2 linked regions of the Stegostoma tigrinum genome follow. The protein of the gene in region 2 purifies or fractionates together with the protein of the main gene of each other region. This does not show direct contact. Links are inferred from orthologs where the notes say so. Each region holds a gene or a part of one and is shown on either strand. Other genes may lie near its edges.

The links. The genes of interacting proteins can lie anywhere in the genome.
Region 1: the proteins of egfra (region 2) and lonp1 purify together in Homo sapiens (affinity purification with mass spectrometry; 3 studies listed by BioGRID and IntAct, with this or other methods). This does not show direct contact. The link is inferred for Stegostoma tigrinum from reciprocal best matches to the Homo sapiens genes EGFR and LONP1.

The regions. Positions count from the first base shown.
Region 1 is NC_081383.1:27,675,739-27,682,706, reverse strand, and holds the start of lonp1 (lon protease homolog, mitochondrial), read left to right. Parts: upstream 1-3,958; 5' UTR 3,959-3,988; coding exon 3,989-4,492; intron 4,493-6,579; coding exon 6,580-6,668; intron 6,669-6,968. UniProt on the Homo sapiens protein: ATP-dependent serine protease that mediates the selective degradation of misfolded, unassembled or oxidatively damaged polypeptides as well as certain short-lived regulatory proteins in the mitochondrial matrix.
Region 2 is NC_081355.1:101,249,977-101,257,800, forward strand, and holds the start of egfra (epidermal growth factor receptor), read left to right. Parts: upstream 1-4,824; 5' UTR 4,825-4,920; coding exon 4,921-4,999; intron 5,000-7,824. UniProt on the Homo sapiens protein: Receptor tyrosine kinase binding ligands of the EGF family and activating several signaling cascades to convert extracellular cues into appropriate cellular responses.

The sequences.
Region 1 (6,968 bases), on a different chromosome or scaffold from region 2:
AGTTGAGTGGCAGTGTGAAATGTGAGGAGGATGTTATTAGAATACAGGGTGACTTGGACAGGCTAGGTGAGTGGACGGATGCATGGCAGATGCAGTTTAATGTGGATAAATGTGTGGTTATACACTTTGGTGGCAAAAACAGGAAGGCAGATTACTATCTCAATGGAGTCAAGTTCGGTAAAGGGGAAGCACAACGAGATCTAGGTGTTCTTGTACATCAGTCAATGAAAGCAAGCATGCAGATACAGCAGGTTGTGAAGAAAGCTAATAGCATGCTGGCCTTCATAACAAGAGGAATTGAGTATAGGAGCAAAGAGGTCCTTCTGCAGCTGTACAGGGCCCTGGTAAGACCGCACCTGGAGTATTGTGTGCAGTTTTGGTCTCCCAATTTGAGGAAAGACATTCTTGCTATTGAGGGAGTGCAGCGTAGGTTCACAAGGTCAATTCCCGGAATGGCGGGACTATCATATGTTGAAAGATTGGAGCGACTGGGCTTGTATACTCTCGAGTTTAGAAGGATGAGAGGGGATCTGATTGAGACGTATAAGGTTAATAAGGGATTGGACACTGTGGAGGTAGGAAGCATGTTTTTGCTGATGGGTGAGTCCAGGACCAGAGGACACAGCTTAAAAATAAGGGGTAAGCCATTTAGAACAGAGTTGAGGTAAAAGTTCTTCACCCAGAGAGTGGTGGATATATGGAATGCTCTGCCCCAGAAGGCAGTGGAGGCCAACTCTCTGGATGCTTTCAAGAAAGAGACAGACAGAGCTCTTAAAGATAGTGGAATCAAGGGTTATGGGGATAAGGCAGGAACAGGATACTGATTGTGGATGATCAGCCATGATCATAATGAATGGTGGTTCTGGCTCGAAGGGCCGAATGGCCTACTCCAGCACCTATTGTCTATTGGTCAAGGAAAATTTTCAGCATCTGCCTTGTCAATCCTCTGAAGAATTTTTACATTTCACGGAAATCACCTTTTATTCTTCTCAGTTCAAAGGAGTATAAATTAGTCTATTAATCTTTAGTTATAGAATAATACTTTCATCCCAGGAATCAGACTTTTGAACCTTTGTTGCACTTCCTTTAGAACAAGTATATGTATTCGTAGGTAAGCAACCCAGAGGGGTTGGCAGCTGAATGTTCCCGGATTTAGACCTCTCATGTGTAATAGAAAGGGATATAAAAAGGGGTGGAGGAGTTGCGTTACTGGTAAGGGAATATCTCACAGCTGTACCAAGGGAGGATCTATCAGAGGACTCATGCAGTGAGGCAATACAGGTAGAACTCAGGAATTGGACAGGTGAAATCACAATGCTGAGGGTACACCACAGGACTCCCAACATCCAACAGAAGATAGAGGAGATGATACACAGACAGATTTGGGAAAGATGTAAAAACAGCAGGTTTGTTATGATGGGTGATGTTTAACTTCCCCATGTTGACTAGGACTCGCTTTGTGCCAGGAACTTGGATGGGACAGAATTTGTAAAGACCATTCAGGAGGGTTTTTTTAACACAGTATATAAACAGTCCAACCAGGATAGGGGTTATAGTGGACCTGGTGTTGGGAATGAGCCTGGTCAGATGAGTGAAGTTTCAGTGGGGCAGAATGTCAGGAGGAATAACTGTAATGCCATGGGTTTTGAGATAGTCATAGAAAGGGATAACAGCAATCCTCGGGTGAAGGTGTTAAATTGGGAAGGTGAACTACAACAATATTAGGCACGAATTGGAGCATTTTGATTGGAGTCAGCTGTTTGAGGGTAAATCCACATCAAATGGCAGTTGATAAGAGTTCAGGAGTGGCACATTCCTGCAAGAATAAAGGATATGTATGGCAAGTTATGTGAACCTTGGATGACCAGGGATCATAGAATCCCTACAGTGTGGAAACAGACCATTTGGTTCAAGAAATCCGCACCACTCGTCTGAAAAGCATCTCACCCAGACTCATCCCACTTCCCTTTCCCTGTAACCATGCATTTCCCATGTCTAATCCACCTAATTTACACTATGGACAATTTAGCATGGCCAATCCACCTGAGCTGCACATCTTTGGACTGTGGGAGGAAACTGGAGCACCCTTAAGAAACCTACACAGACACAGGGCGAATGTTCAAACCCCACACAGATGGTCCTGAGGGTGGAATTGAACCCAAGTCCCTGGTACAGTGAGACAGCAATACTAACCACTAAGCCACTGCGCCGCACCTGTGTTCCAGTGCTGGGACCTTAGCTGTTTGTGGTCTACATAACTGATTTGATGGAAAATATAGCTGATTTAATTAGTTAGTTTGCAGATGATACAATGATTGGTGGAGTAGTGGATAGTGAGGAGGATTGTCAGAGGATACAGCAGGATATAGATCAGTTGGTCACAAACTGTCATAGCTCCATTCGCTTACCATTGATTCCAACAACCATCCCAAAGCATTATCACAAATTGAATTCCATTGTTCACAATGGAAGCAACATATTTGACTCTTAGGTGTGTTTATAGTTCCACATATTGTCCATAGCAAACATTCTGCAACAGCACGTCTATACCCAAGAATCTCATGGATCTTTCTGTCATCTCCAAATTTGATTATTCCAATGTTTTACCAGGCAGCTGCTTTCCTCCATTAGACATAAACTCAGATTATTCTCAATTTTGCTACCATATTTCATTTCACCAAGATCTGCTTACCAATAACCCCATTGTTGCTAACTTTGTTTAATGTTTCTCCATTGCCTCAAATTTTAAATTTGCATTTTTGCAGTCAACCTCCCTCAAAGATTTATCCTTTCTTACCTCACTAGCTTTTCTATTCCCCCTACAAATGTATGAGAATTTTCTTTCTGTATTATAACCCCGAATCTCTGGGTATTCCTCTCCACTTCCCTTGCCTCTTTTAAGATGCTCCTTAGTATTCATCACTGACTAGTCACAGTCAATCCTCCTGGTATTTCTTGCTTTGATTTAATTTTTTGTCTGATCATACTCCATTTGATGTTCTAGGAATGTTTGACTTTAGCAAATATTTTATATACATGCATATTGTTTTTGTTATTCCTGATGGCTATGTAGCACTTGTGGAAATCATGTAATGGCAACATCAGAATTGGCTACAATCCTTCTGCTAATTGAAAACTCATTGACATTTACTGTGTTGAGTTACATAAAGGAAAAGGTATCATAGGGCATCAGATGACACAAGAATTGTGCCCCAGTGAGTGCCTGAGATCTTTATGACTGGATAACAGTGAAGAAACTGGAATGCATACTGAGTATGTGTAGAATTATTATTATTAGTTAACATTTATTTTATTTATGTGGTTTAGGTTTTATTACTTATGCTGCTCAAAAAGATTTTGTTTAGTGAAGCTGGAATGACTTTTTTTGTTACCATGTAAAAATGTAGAACTGTATAATTCATATGGATACATGTTCGCCTAACAAAGAACAAAGCACTTCAAGAGCTAGTGATTTCAAATAAACCTGTTGGACTATAACTTGGTGTTGTGGGACTTCTGAATTTGTCCACCCTGGTCCAACCACTGACACCTCCACATCAGAAAAATAATCCTTGTTGCAGTCTTAAGTGGTTTTCTTCTTTTTGTTTTTTTTTTGTTTATGCCCCTTTATAAAATGGACACTTTTGTTGCATGTAATTGGTTTGATGCTACTGGGGCAACCAGTGTCCAATTGTTCCAAACGCAAAAGCTGAATGGTATCCCAAATTATCAACTTTCCTTGTCTGACGAGTACAACTACTTGGAATTGCGGTGGGTATAGGTTCAAGCTGACTTTCAGAAAAGAATGGATAGTTTTCTGGAAGATTTTATACAGGTGGAAAAGGTGGGAAGTCAGAGGAAGGGACTCAAAATGTTTTCTCCGTAGCCGTAACTATTTTAGCCAATCAAGGCGTGGCACGGATTCTCTCCGAAGTTCAGCAGAGAGATCGCCGAGAGGCATTGTGGGAGTTTAGGATTAGTAATCAAGATGGCAGCCTACATACGACTTGCCTCCATATCTCGCTGGTTGAATAGAGGCACACCAGGGTATCGACTATTCGATGTGGTGACGAACTTTGCTCCAGCCGGGCGTAACAGTGAGACCAGTGTTGTTTTCTCAATAAAGCGGTACCGTTCGGTAGCTTTTGAGGGATTGCGGAGCTGCGGCCGGTGCAGAACGGTAACCAGGGTAGCAGGATCAGCATGCTGCAATGGCAAGAAATCCGGGCTCCTTTCGCAATCTAATCCCCGATTGCAGCAAACCTGCAGCTTCCAGGACTTCAGTGAAAAGAGCAGTGGTGGTTCGGTTAATTCGGGGGATGACGGCGTGGAAGACGGGACCGGGGATGGTGGAGGTGGGGAAGGGGCTGCGGGTATGCCCCCTTCCATGACTGCGCTCTCCCCTATGATCGTGCCGGATGTTTTTCCCAATGTCCCCTTGATCGCCGTCACTAGGAACCCCGTGTTCCCCAGATTTATTAAAATAATTGAGGTAGGAATTCTGGAGAACGTTTTTGAGAATGTGACAGTCGTTGATGGATGGGAAACGTTGCGCGAATGGGAACTTTAAATGCAAAATATTTGGATGAGTGGATTTAAACGGGAAAATGTATAGTTATTACGTTCCAAACTATTTTATATTACCCAAGGTAGTTTTCATTTGCAAATTTGAGACTTAAGGACAACTTTTAATTTGATTATTTTAGAGTACGAATTTCAATATCATACGTTAAAGACGCGTTTAACCACTTACTGTAGCAAAGTTACCTTACACTTGCCTCCAAATTGGTAAGCCCAAACGCAGGCCGGGAGACTGCTATGCGCAACACTCCCCTCTGTCTTCTGACCTGTTGCTGTCTTGGTTACAATTCTATTTCAGGCCTGGTGCAGTACTCCAGCAAGGTGGGGGGGGGGGGGGGGGAATCACCTTCTTTGGCGCGTTACAGCCTTCAGGAATCAACGTGGCGCTGAGTAATTTCTGTCCTCCGTTTTTGATTTCACTCACTCCCAGGGTCGTTTGTTTGGGTTTGTGCTCAGCAAAGCTAATCCATTTTTGACTGCTCATACCTGCCATTTGGACCTATTTTCATCGATATGCCTCCTGTACTACTTCAAAAGTACCTTTATCGTTTACTTTGTTCACCCCCATCTGCTCCACCCCTCCACTTTGTTAGCAACGTAAAACCATAATCTTCCAACTTTGTTCAGTTCTGAAGAAGAATAACATCAGACTCGCAACTTTGTATCTCTCCACAGACGCTACTAGACTTAGTGTTTCTCTGGCACTTTTCTTATTTGAAATTCTCTATGCTTTACAGACTAAGAAAAGTCTCATGAGACACAAAATAGACTTGATTATAAGCATTGTGATATTGCATATTGGAGTAATTGGGAGTTGATCAGAAATGATTTGATATATCACTCGTTACAGATGCAAATATATTTTGGTAGAAAACTACACTACATGGTTAAAAATGGTCTGTGGTAATCCACAATTCAAAAGCAGCAGTAAAATCCTTGAGGGCCGCTGACTTTCCACTTTGGATAGATGACTCATCCAGTACTTTTTGTATTTGGTGCTGTTTGTCAGATAGCTAGAAGAGGACAGCCAGTCTGGTTGCATAAACAATGGAAAAGTCCTGTTTGCTGATTAATACCCTTTTACTGGAACTTGAGACTACAAGTGAGTTATGGTCAACCTTGTGAATAAATGGATTTTAAGATCAGATAAAATATCTTGTTCTAAAAACATTTCTTTCTCATCTAAAATCAACAATCCTCCATGGCTCTTCCTCTATTCCCTCTTCAAAAATAGAATACCAACCAAGCATGAGGAGTTAATTGTGTTTTCCATTTAAAAGCAAGACAATAAAATTGAGGGAAAAAAAATTAAAATTGATTAGAACTTAATAGTGAATCTCTTAAGTATACCATAGCTTAGAATACTAAATAAAAACTGAAAGAACTGTGGCTGCCATAAATCAGAAACAAAAACAAAAATTGCTGGAAAAATGCAGCAGGTCTGTCAGCACCTGTGAAGAGAAATTACAGTTAACATTTCAGGTCCTGTGACTCTTTCTGAGAAGCTTCACAGCAATTTCTGTTTTTGATGGCTTAGAATACCTTGTATAACATTCACAGTAGTTCTGCAGATAAATGCCTAACTTTTTGTAGTACTCAGTTATGCAAACTAGATAGGTACTGGGTTTCATCTCTGCTGAATTAATTGCTTTCACCATTCCACAGTTAAGTGTGATCTTACTCACTTTCTGAATGTGGCGAGGACAGATTATGATGCGTACTGTGGGGGAATAGCTTTCTAACTTGGGTGATGTGAAGATCTGCTAATTGGAATTACTTGAAAGTGCTGAGCACTCAGATATCCATCCCACAACATGTATTCCATGTGTGCATGCACACAAGTACATCCTCCATAAACAGTGGTGAATAATCTTTTAAGACTGAATGAGAAAAGCATGTTGGTATTCTGCTTTGGTGTTAAATTTCACATCTCAGATACTAAAAGTTTAATGCAAGAATGGTGACTGCACAAATGTGAATATTTTTCCCTTTGTATAGGTAAAGAACAAAAAGTTAATGGAACTCCTTCGAAGAAAAGTGCGTTTGGCTCAACCATATGCCGGAGTATTTCTTAAAAAAGATGACAGGTAAGCAATATTTAAGATTTTAGTGGTTTGTACTAACATCTAACATTCTGCATAGATGCAACATGGCACATCACAGGGTTGTAGAATGTGTATCAGCGAAGCATCAGTGTATAATGTAAGTTATGCTTAAAGAATAGTCAGAATGTACAAACAATGAAACTTGTAGCGATATTGGGAAAAGAATAGAGGACTGGACTAAATTAGCTCTTCCATAGAGTTGGTATAATCATGGCCTATCTCTGTGCTTATGATTCCAAGATTCCTAGAAAGGCCTAAGAGAAAATAAATCATGTCCAACAA
Region 2 (7,824 bases):
CTTAGCTACTGAAGCATAATCATTTAAGTTCAATTCCTCTTGTAATACCGCATACCATTCCATTAGCCTTCCTGATTACATAACTTTACCTTTACCTTTTGTTTTCTGATGAAGGGTCCTGACACAAAATGTTAACTTTCCTGCTCCTCTGATGCTGCCTGGCCTGCTGTGTTCGTCCAGATCCACACTTTGTTACCTCTGACTCCAGCATCTGCAGTTCTTACTATCTCCTTGTAGCCATTGTGTTTATGTGGTGAATCCAATGGAGTTTCTGGTTAATGATAAACCCCAGAATGTTGATAGTGGATAATTCAGTGATGGTAACACCATTGAATGTCAAGAGGCAGTGGCTAAATTGTCTCTTATTGGTGACGGTCACAGCCTGGTATTTGTGTGGCTTGAATATGTCTGTAAATTATCAGACTGTGATATGACATCTGGGCCTGGATGAACAGAAATTACCCCAAGATAAATACCAGGAAGTCTGAAGCCATTGTCTTCCTCATCACTGACTCCATTCCTTTTGTGGTAACTGCTTGCAACATCAGTGTCACATTAAGATCACTGTATGATCATATGCAATAAGTGTCAATGCTGAGACAATTGATTTCCACCTTATTGGCTGCTAAAACCCACATCCATACCATCTTCACTATTTTAAGCCCCTCCTGTCCAACCTCACAGATTCTACACTCTATAAACTTTCGGTCATACAAACTCCACTTCCTGTGTCCTAGCCCATGTCAGATCTCATTCACTCATCACTTCTGTCCACACTGAGCTACACTAAATCCAGCTAAGGCACACTTTGACCTAAAAGTTAATTTATCTCCAGCATTACAACCTTTCAAGATACATGTGTTCCTCTAATTCCAGCATCTTGAAAATTTTAGTTACTTCCCTGTGCCTTTGCTGTCTGTGGTACCAAATTCTGTAATTCTCTCTTTAAACCCTGCTGTCTGTAGAATTTTCCTTCCTCCTTTATGATACTCCTTAAAGCCTTCTTCCCTGACCATGCTCTTGGACATCTATATCTCTTCATGAGACGTGATATGACATTTTCTTTTAAGGTGGCATGGTGAAGGGCCTTGGAGCAATATACAAATATAAGCTGTTGTTATATGTTGGTTCACTTTTGGAGGACTTAATAAAGTTTAATATTACTAATCTCTGAGCTGTTTTGCTGTCTATTTTCCTCTTTGTATATTCAGATTATGTATGCCTTAGCAAAAGTCTTCTGCAGTCTAGATTGATTTACTTTAGAGACCTGGATAATCTGAGCACACTATCATGTCAGCTTTCCATCATGATAGTAAAGGCATAAATGAGTATTATTTTCATAGCTTCATGTATTAACAATTGAATTTATACTAAAGCCTTCTTGCAATGATACTAAACTATTTAATATATCCTTCAATGTCATTACCTTTTTTTAATTTATTGATTAATAGGATGTGGGTGTTGCCCGTCCCTAGATGCCCTTGAGCAGGTGATAGTGAGCTGCCTTCTTGAAACGCTGCCATCCACCTACTGTGGCCCGACCCACAATGCCATTAGGGAGGAAATTCCAGGATTTTGACCCAATGACAGTGAAGGAACAGCAATATATTGCTCGGAGGGGAACTTGAAGGTGGTGGCGTTCCCGAATATCTTATGCCCTTGTCCTTCCAGATGGAAGTGGTTGTAATTTTGGATTGTAGGATAACAAAGTGTGAAGCTGGATGAACACAGCAGGCCAAGCAGCATCTCAGGAGCACAAAAGCTGATGGTTCGGGCCTAGACCCTTCATCAGAGAAAGGGTCTAGGCCCGAAACATCAGCTTTTGTGCTCCTGAGATGCTGCTTGGCCTGCTGTGTTCATCCAGCTTCACACTTTGTTATCTTGGATTCTCCAGCATCTGCAGTTCCCATTATCAGTGATTTTGCATGGTGCTGTCTGAGGATCTTTGGTGAATTTCTGCAGTGCATCTTATAGATTGTACACATTGCTGCAAATAAGGGTTGGTGGTGAATGAAGTGGGTGCATGAAGTGCCAATCAGGTGGGTCGCTTTGTCTTGGATGTTGTGAAGCTTCTTGAGTGTTGTTGGAGCTGCACTCATCCAGGCAAGTGGAGAGTATTCCATCACACTCCTGACTTGTGCCTTGCCAATGGTAGACAGACTTTGGGATGTCAGAAGATATGCTGCAGTATTCTTAGCCTCTGACCTGCTCTTGTAGCCATTGTATTTATGTGGTGAGTCCAATTGAGTTTCTGGTCAATGATAACCCCCAGTATGTTGATAGTGGGGATTCAGTGATGGTAATGCCATTGAATGTCAAGGGGCAGTGGTTAAATTGTCACTTGTTGGTGATGGTCATAGCCTGGCATTTCTGTGACATAAACATTACTAACCACTTGACATGAGCAGTTTCAAATGGTGCTGAACATTGTGCAATCATCAGAGAACAACCCCACTTCTGACCTTATGGTGGAGGAACGGTTGTTGATGAAGCAGCAGAAGAGGGTTGGGCCTAGGACACTACACTGACGAGCTCTCACAGAGACCACATGGAGCTGAGATGACTGAACTCCAACAGCTACAAGCATCATCCTATCTGTCAGGTCTGACTTTAACCACCAGAGAGTTTGCCCCCGATAATAATTTGTTCCAGTTTTGCTACGGCTCAGTCAAATGTAATCTTGATGTCAACGGCTGCCATTCTCACCTTACCTCTGGAATTCAACGCTTTTGTCCATGTTTGAACCAAGGCTGCAATGAGGTCAGGAGCTGTGTGGTTCTGATGGAACCCAGCCAGGCATCACTTAGCAGGTACTGATAGCACTGTTGATGACACCTTCCATCACTTTATTGATGATTGAGAGTAGACTGATGGAGCAGTAATTGGTCAGATTGGATTTGTCCTGCTTTTTGTGTACAGGACATGCTTGGGCAATTTTCCACAATGTTGGGTAGGTGCCAGTGTTGTCTCTGTACTGGAACAGCTTGGCTAGGAGAGTGGCAAGTTCTGGAGCAGAAGTCTTCTGTACTGTTGCCGGAATGTTGTCAAGGCCCTTACCCCTTGTACTATCCAGTGTCCTAGCCACCTCTTGAAATCACATGGAGTCTATCGAATTTACTGACAACTGGTGTCTGTGATGCTAGGGATCACTGAAGGAGGCCGAGATGGATCATCCACTGGGCACTTCTGGCTAAGTATTGCTGCGAAAGCTTCAGCCTTTTTTTTGCACTGATTTTGCAAAATGTTTGCAATTATTTGCTGCCATAGCAGCCATGAACCATTGCCTCCTATATTGAAAAAAATTACATAAAATCTCCTGGACTAGTTTCTTTGAAAAGCGAAGTCTGGCATTTCTACTGTACACTGTGTACTATTTTGCTTAAACTATATCCTGGAAATGTAATCTTTTCAGACACTTGAAAGTTTATATCTAAAAGCAATAGTCTGTAAAGTGCAATTTAAAATGTTGTAGATTCTCAATGTAACATAAGTTCAAGTGCAAACACAGAGCAAATAAGAATTTATGTGAACCTGATAGAAGAGCAATTTTGAAAAGTGTTCAATGCAGCTGTGACTGGTATAGTGTTGTTCCTTTTCAGGAATGATCACAATTGGACTTAAGCAGAAAGAAAAGAAGCAGCATTTCTACAGTGTTTTAATATTAAGTCAGATATTGCCTCTTCACAACAAGCTGAAACGATTATTTGATGCTGTTAGATATAAGAATAGGTGTAGCCTCCTACTGACTGTGCTGAGGGCTGGAATTTTGTTATTCCTGAATAATTTGTTTGTTTGTCCAGCAGTTTAAGAAAGGGCATCTTGTATCCTCATACACATTGCAGGGATTCCAATGCTACTTCGTAATAGTTCACTTTCGAAATATACACAATCATTTCTGTAAATCATTCATTTAAACATATAATGTTTGAAAGCTGAAAAGGTGTAATGAGTATTTAACATTTCACAGTGTAGACTTCAGTCTGTATGCGTTGCTCCTCTCTCGAGTTTCTTTTTACCTCTTAAGGGAAGCCTTACACTAAAATTGCTTACATTATTTATGAACTTTAGGACCTGCTGGTGCCAATGGCACTAGAGTATGTTTCCTTCCTCCACACACCCTTCTCTGAATAATAGAGGTCATTAATGGTGCTGAAAAGTCTTTTTAACATACTCATGGAGGATACCTTAAATATGTTTAAATTCTACCTTCCCACCTATAAGTTAGTGTCATTGATACCATTTGGAAGGATAATAGTCTCTGCAAAGAACTTATATTTGCAAGATGCCTTGAATTTTTTTTTTCGCAGGTGTATTCACGTACACATTGCCAAAAGCGTTTCTCCTTGTCCTTAATTTTAAGAAAAATGAGACAAGTGAGATCTGTGTGGCTGCGAAGCGAGAAAAAAAACTATCCAAAAAGTGAAACTGCTGAACTCCAGTTCCACTTTCAGCAATGACGGTCGCGTTCGGACCATTCCATCACCTTCAAGCATGACTTGTATTTACCCTGCTCGCTGCTTCTCAGAGGTCTCGCCCTGCCCTGAAGGGTTAACAGGGAAAGTCTGAGGACTGGCTGCTACTTCTGGTTCACAGAGCCATCCAGTGATGAGCAACCGCTGGGAGGAGATGTGAGTGGGAAGCAATACCAGAGGAGGGTGCTCGATGTGGCCAGGGAGGGTGCTCTGTGTGCCCAGGGGAAGTGTAGGACCCTGTGAGTGTCAGTCTCACCTGGATTCTCTCTCTCCTCCCAGTGAATTGACGTCAGGCTGAGTGCTAGCTTCAGGCTGACACAGGCAGAGAGAGGGAGGGAGGGGCAGACACACAGACAGAGGGGCTGGGCTAGCTAAACTCAGCGCTAACTGCTGCCTACCCTGTTGTGTGCTCAACACGGGAGATCGCCCAGAGGGAAGCCGCTGAACCATGTTCTGTTCCCTGCTGCCGGGCTGCGTCCACCTCCTAATCCTTTTAAGTTTGGGCAGCGAGTCCCTGTCCAGGGAAGGTAAGAACCACAGGGACAGAGAGAGAAACCTTGAAAGCGGAGTCTTGCTGCCCCTGCCCCTCCGCTTCCTAAACACCTCCTGGAGTGAACTTATCAGAGCAAAGGGTCCGGAGGCAAGGGCAGTAGGTGGGGAGGAGCGAGATTGCCGAGTGCGGGAATGTTTGCTGCTGGGAACTGAAGTGTTCCGGGGACTTAAAGTCACTTTGCTGTCATCTCCTTTTCTCATCCATCCGGAGAGCTGGGGCGAGTGTGTTAGAGTGTTCGGGCAATCTGATCAGTTGGTACTGAGTGCCTCTCTCGTGCTTCGTTCCTTTTGCTCAGGGACTTTAACCTGTAAGAAACTCTGTAAGCAACGAGTTGAGTTACGGGATGTTTGTTTTGCCAAGAGAGGGTCATAAAGTTTGAGTTTCCCTAAACAAGCACAGATTCTTACCCATTACTGATCGCAGGCATTTCCTTCTTCGCCTTTTTATGTCAGTTTATACACATTTATGATTGCATAATTGCGTGCACTATCACTTAAAGCACAGCTCAAATAAAAAGGTCCGATTGGTTCAGGATCTCAAGGTTCAACCATGGATTATTGCAAGTAAAGGGTGTGCGATGCCAACGTACGAAAATGCAATGATCCTTTTTTTGTTAGCTGTAGCAAAATGTGTCAATTGTTTTGTCTTTATTTGTAACTATGCACAATAGCATGAACTTGATTCACATTTCACAAGCTTGTAGCGTTCTACAAAGGGGGCGAAGTTGCACTCAGTGAAGCAATCTGTACATTTTAAAAAAGTTAGCTGAAGTGTTGAATGCCCTGTGGAATTAGACATGTAACATCTGCCGTAGCAGCTCTGTGATGCTGTGTTCTGCTAAATGTAACCCAAATGTCCATTGATGTCTCATCAACATGATGAATATTTCTTGCACTTGTAGTTGACTATGGAAGTTATACACAAGGAAGTTGTGAGCAGACTGCTTCAGGAACAAATAATTTATTGTGTTCTACTGAGTTTTGTTTTAAGTCCTGATAATGTAGCTGACTGCTGAGTGGCATCTTCAGGATATTTGTCAACTAGTTGGTTTAAAAGTTTAAATTGTCTAATTTAAATAGTTAAAGGAACGAACTCTTTCTACTAAATTAAAATAGCATTGGTGCTAAAAATACAAAATAAATACAGAAGATACTAGAAATGCTTGGCAGGGCAGCCAGTCACTGTTGAAGTTGGTGAAATGTCAGTTTTGTATCTCCACAGATTCTGCTGGTTCTACTGAGGGGTTTTTTTCCAGCAATTTCTGTTTTGTTTTATTATAAAAGTTCCTTAATGATCTGATAGTACAGCAATCTTTTGTTCTGCATTTAAGGGAGTGCCATTTCCAAGGAAATATAAGGATAAGGTGGTGACTTTGTGAGTTGGCCCATAACAGTGAACCACTCATTTGTGAATTGCTCATTGCATTAAGACAAAGTTGTAAAGGCAGAAGCTAGGTTGCAATGGAAATGAACTTGATATTGTGATTGTTTGCAATTGTTCATAATTTTACTTGAGCATTTAGTGTTAAAATCCATTAAAAATTTGCTGGTTCATTTAGTGTGTGAAAAATAACTCAAGCAAATACAAATTACTTTTATATACATCCCCATCCATTTCCTTCTGCCTTGTAAAACCAAGGTTAAATTATGAGGGCAGCTTGTATAGATTAATCGTGTATTCATCCGATGATAGAATATTAAACAGTAATCTATTTGAAATGTTAACAATGTCTAAACGATTTGATAAAACAGAAAGAGGATTCTTTTCTCTTGTGAGGGAGGCAAAATAACATGGGGACATTAAACCTAGGGGCTATCTAGGCTGTTCAGGAATAATGTAAGGAAATATTTTTTTCACACACAAGATAATAACAATCTGAAGCTATTTTCCCTGCTCAGCAAAAAGGTTTTTTGAGGTTAGGTCATTTGAAAATGTTAGAACTGAAATTACTAGATTTTTGATGGGCAAGAATACTCAGTGTAGCAGAATGTAGATATTATGGTGCAGGTCAACAATTATCTGCTTGAACAACAGAACAGACTTGAGCTGAATGGCCTACTGTTTATGTTCTGTTTGCCACTGTCATCACTGTCATTGCTATTAGGATCCTTTCAGACAGCGATATTTATACTGTATAGGATATTGGGTAAAAATTCTGACACAATCTATATTATTGTTGAGCCTACAAGAGCATTTCCTACTTTACCGTTTTGACAAATTGTATCTGTGCCTCTCTGAATTAAATTGTGAGTTTGTGCCGTAAATGTTGAATTATGCCAATTTTGTACTGCCTCAATAAATTGTAAAGTTGGCCAAATTAGTTGAGATTAGGAGCCTTACTTCCAATAAAGGTCTTTCATCCTGTCGGCTTGATGTGATTGAATGTATCTCACGGAAAAATGATCAGTGTACCACTAGTTTAGCACCAGTGATGTTATTAATTAGCATTAATGTTTGATTGGCATTTTCTGTGCACTGCAGCCATAATATAATGTATTTCAACCCAAAGCCAGACAAAGTTTAACACAATACTGTATTAACTTTTCTCTCCTCAATAAATGTATCCCCATGAAATGAACTAATGTACACCTATTGAATTTCCCTTCAATTGCATTTCCCCCTAGAAAGAACAGAACACTGTTGATTTTTTAAAAGAAATGCTAATTGCTGTGACACCGCCAGAAGGGTGATGAGTTTAGACATTGGCAAGGTCATGTGTGGCAGTATATGATTAACTCTGTCTCTTTAGAAGATCCTCACAGATTAAGTGCAAACAAACTAAGCAGATTTTAAAAATCC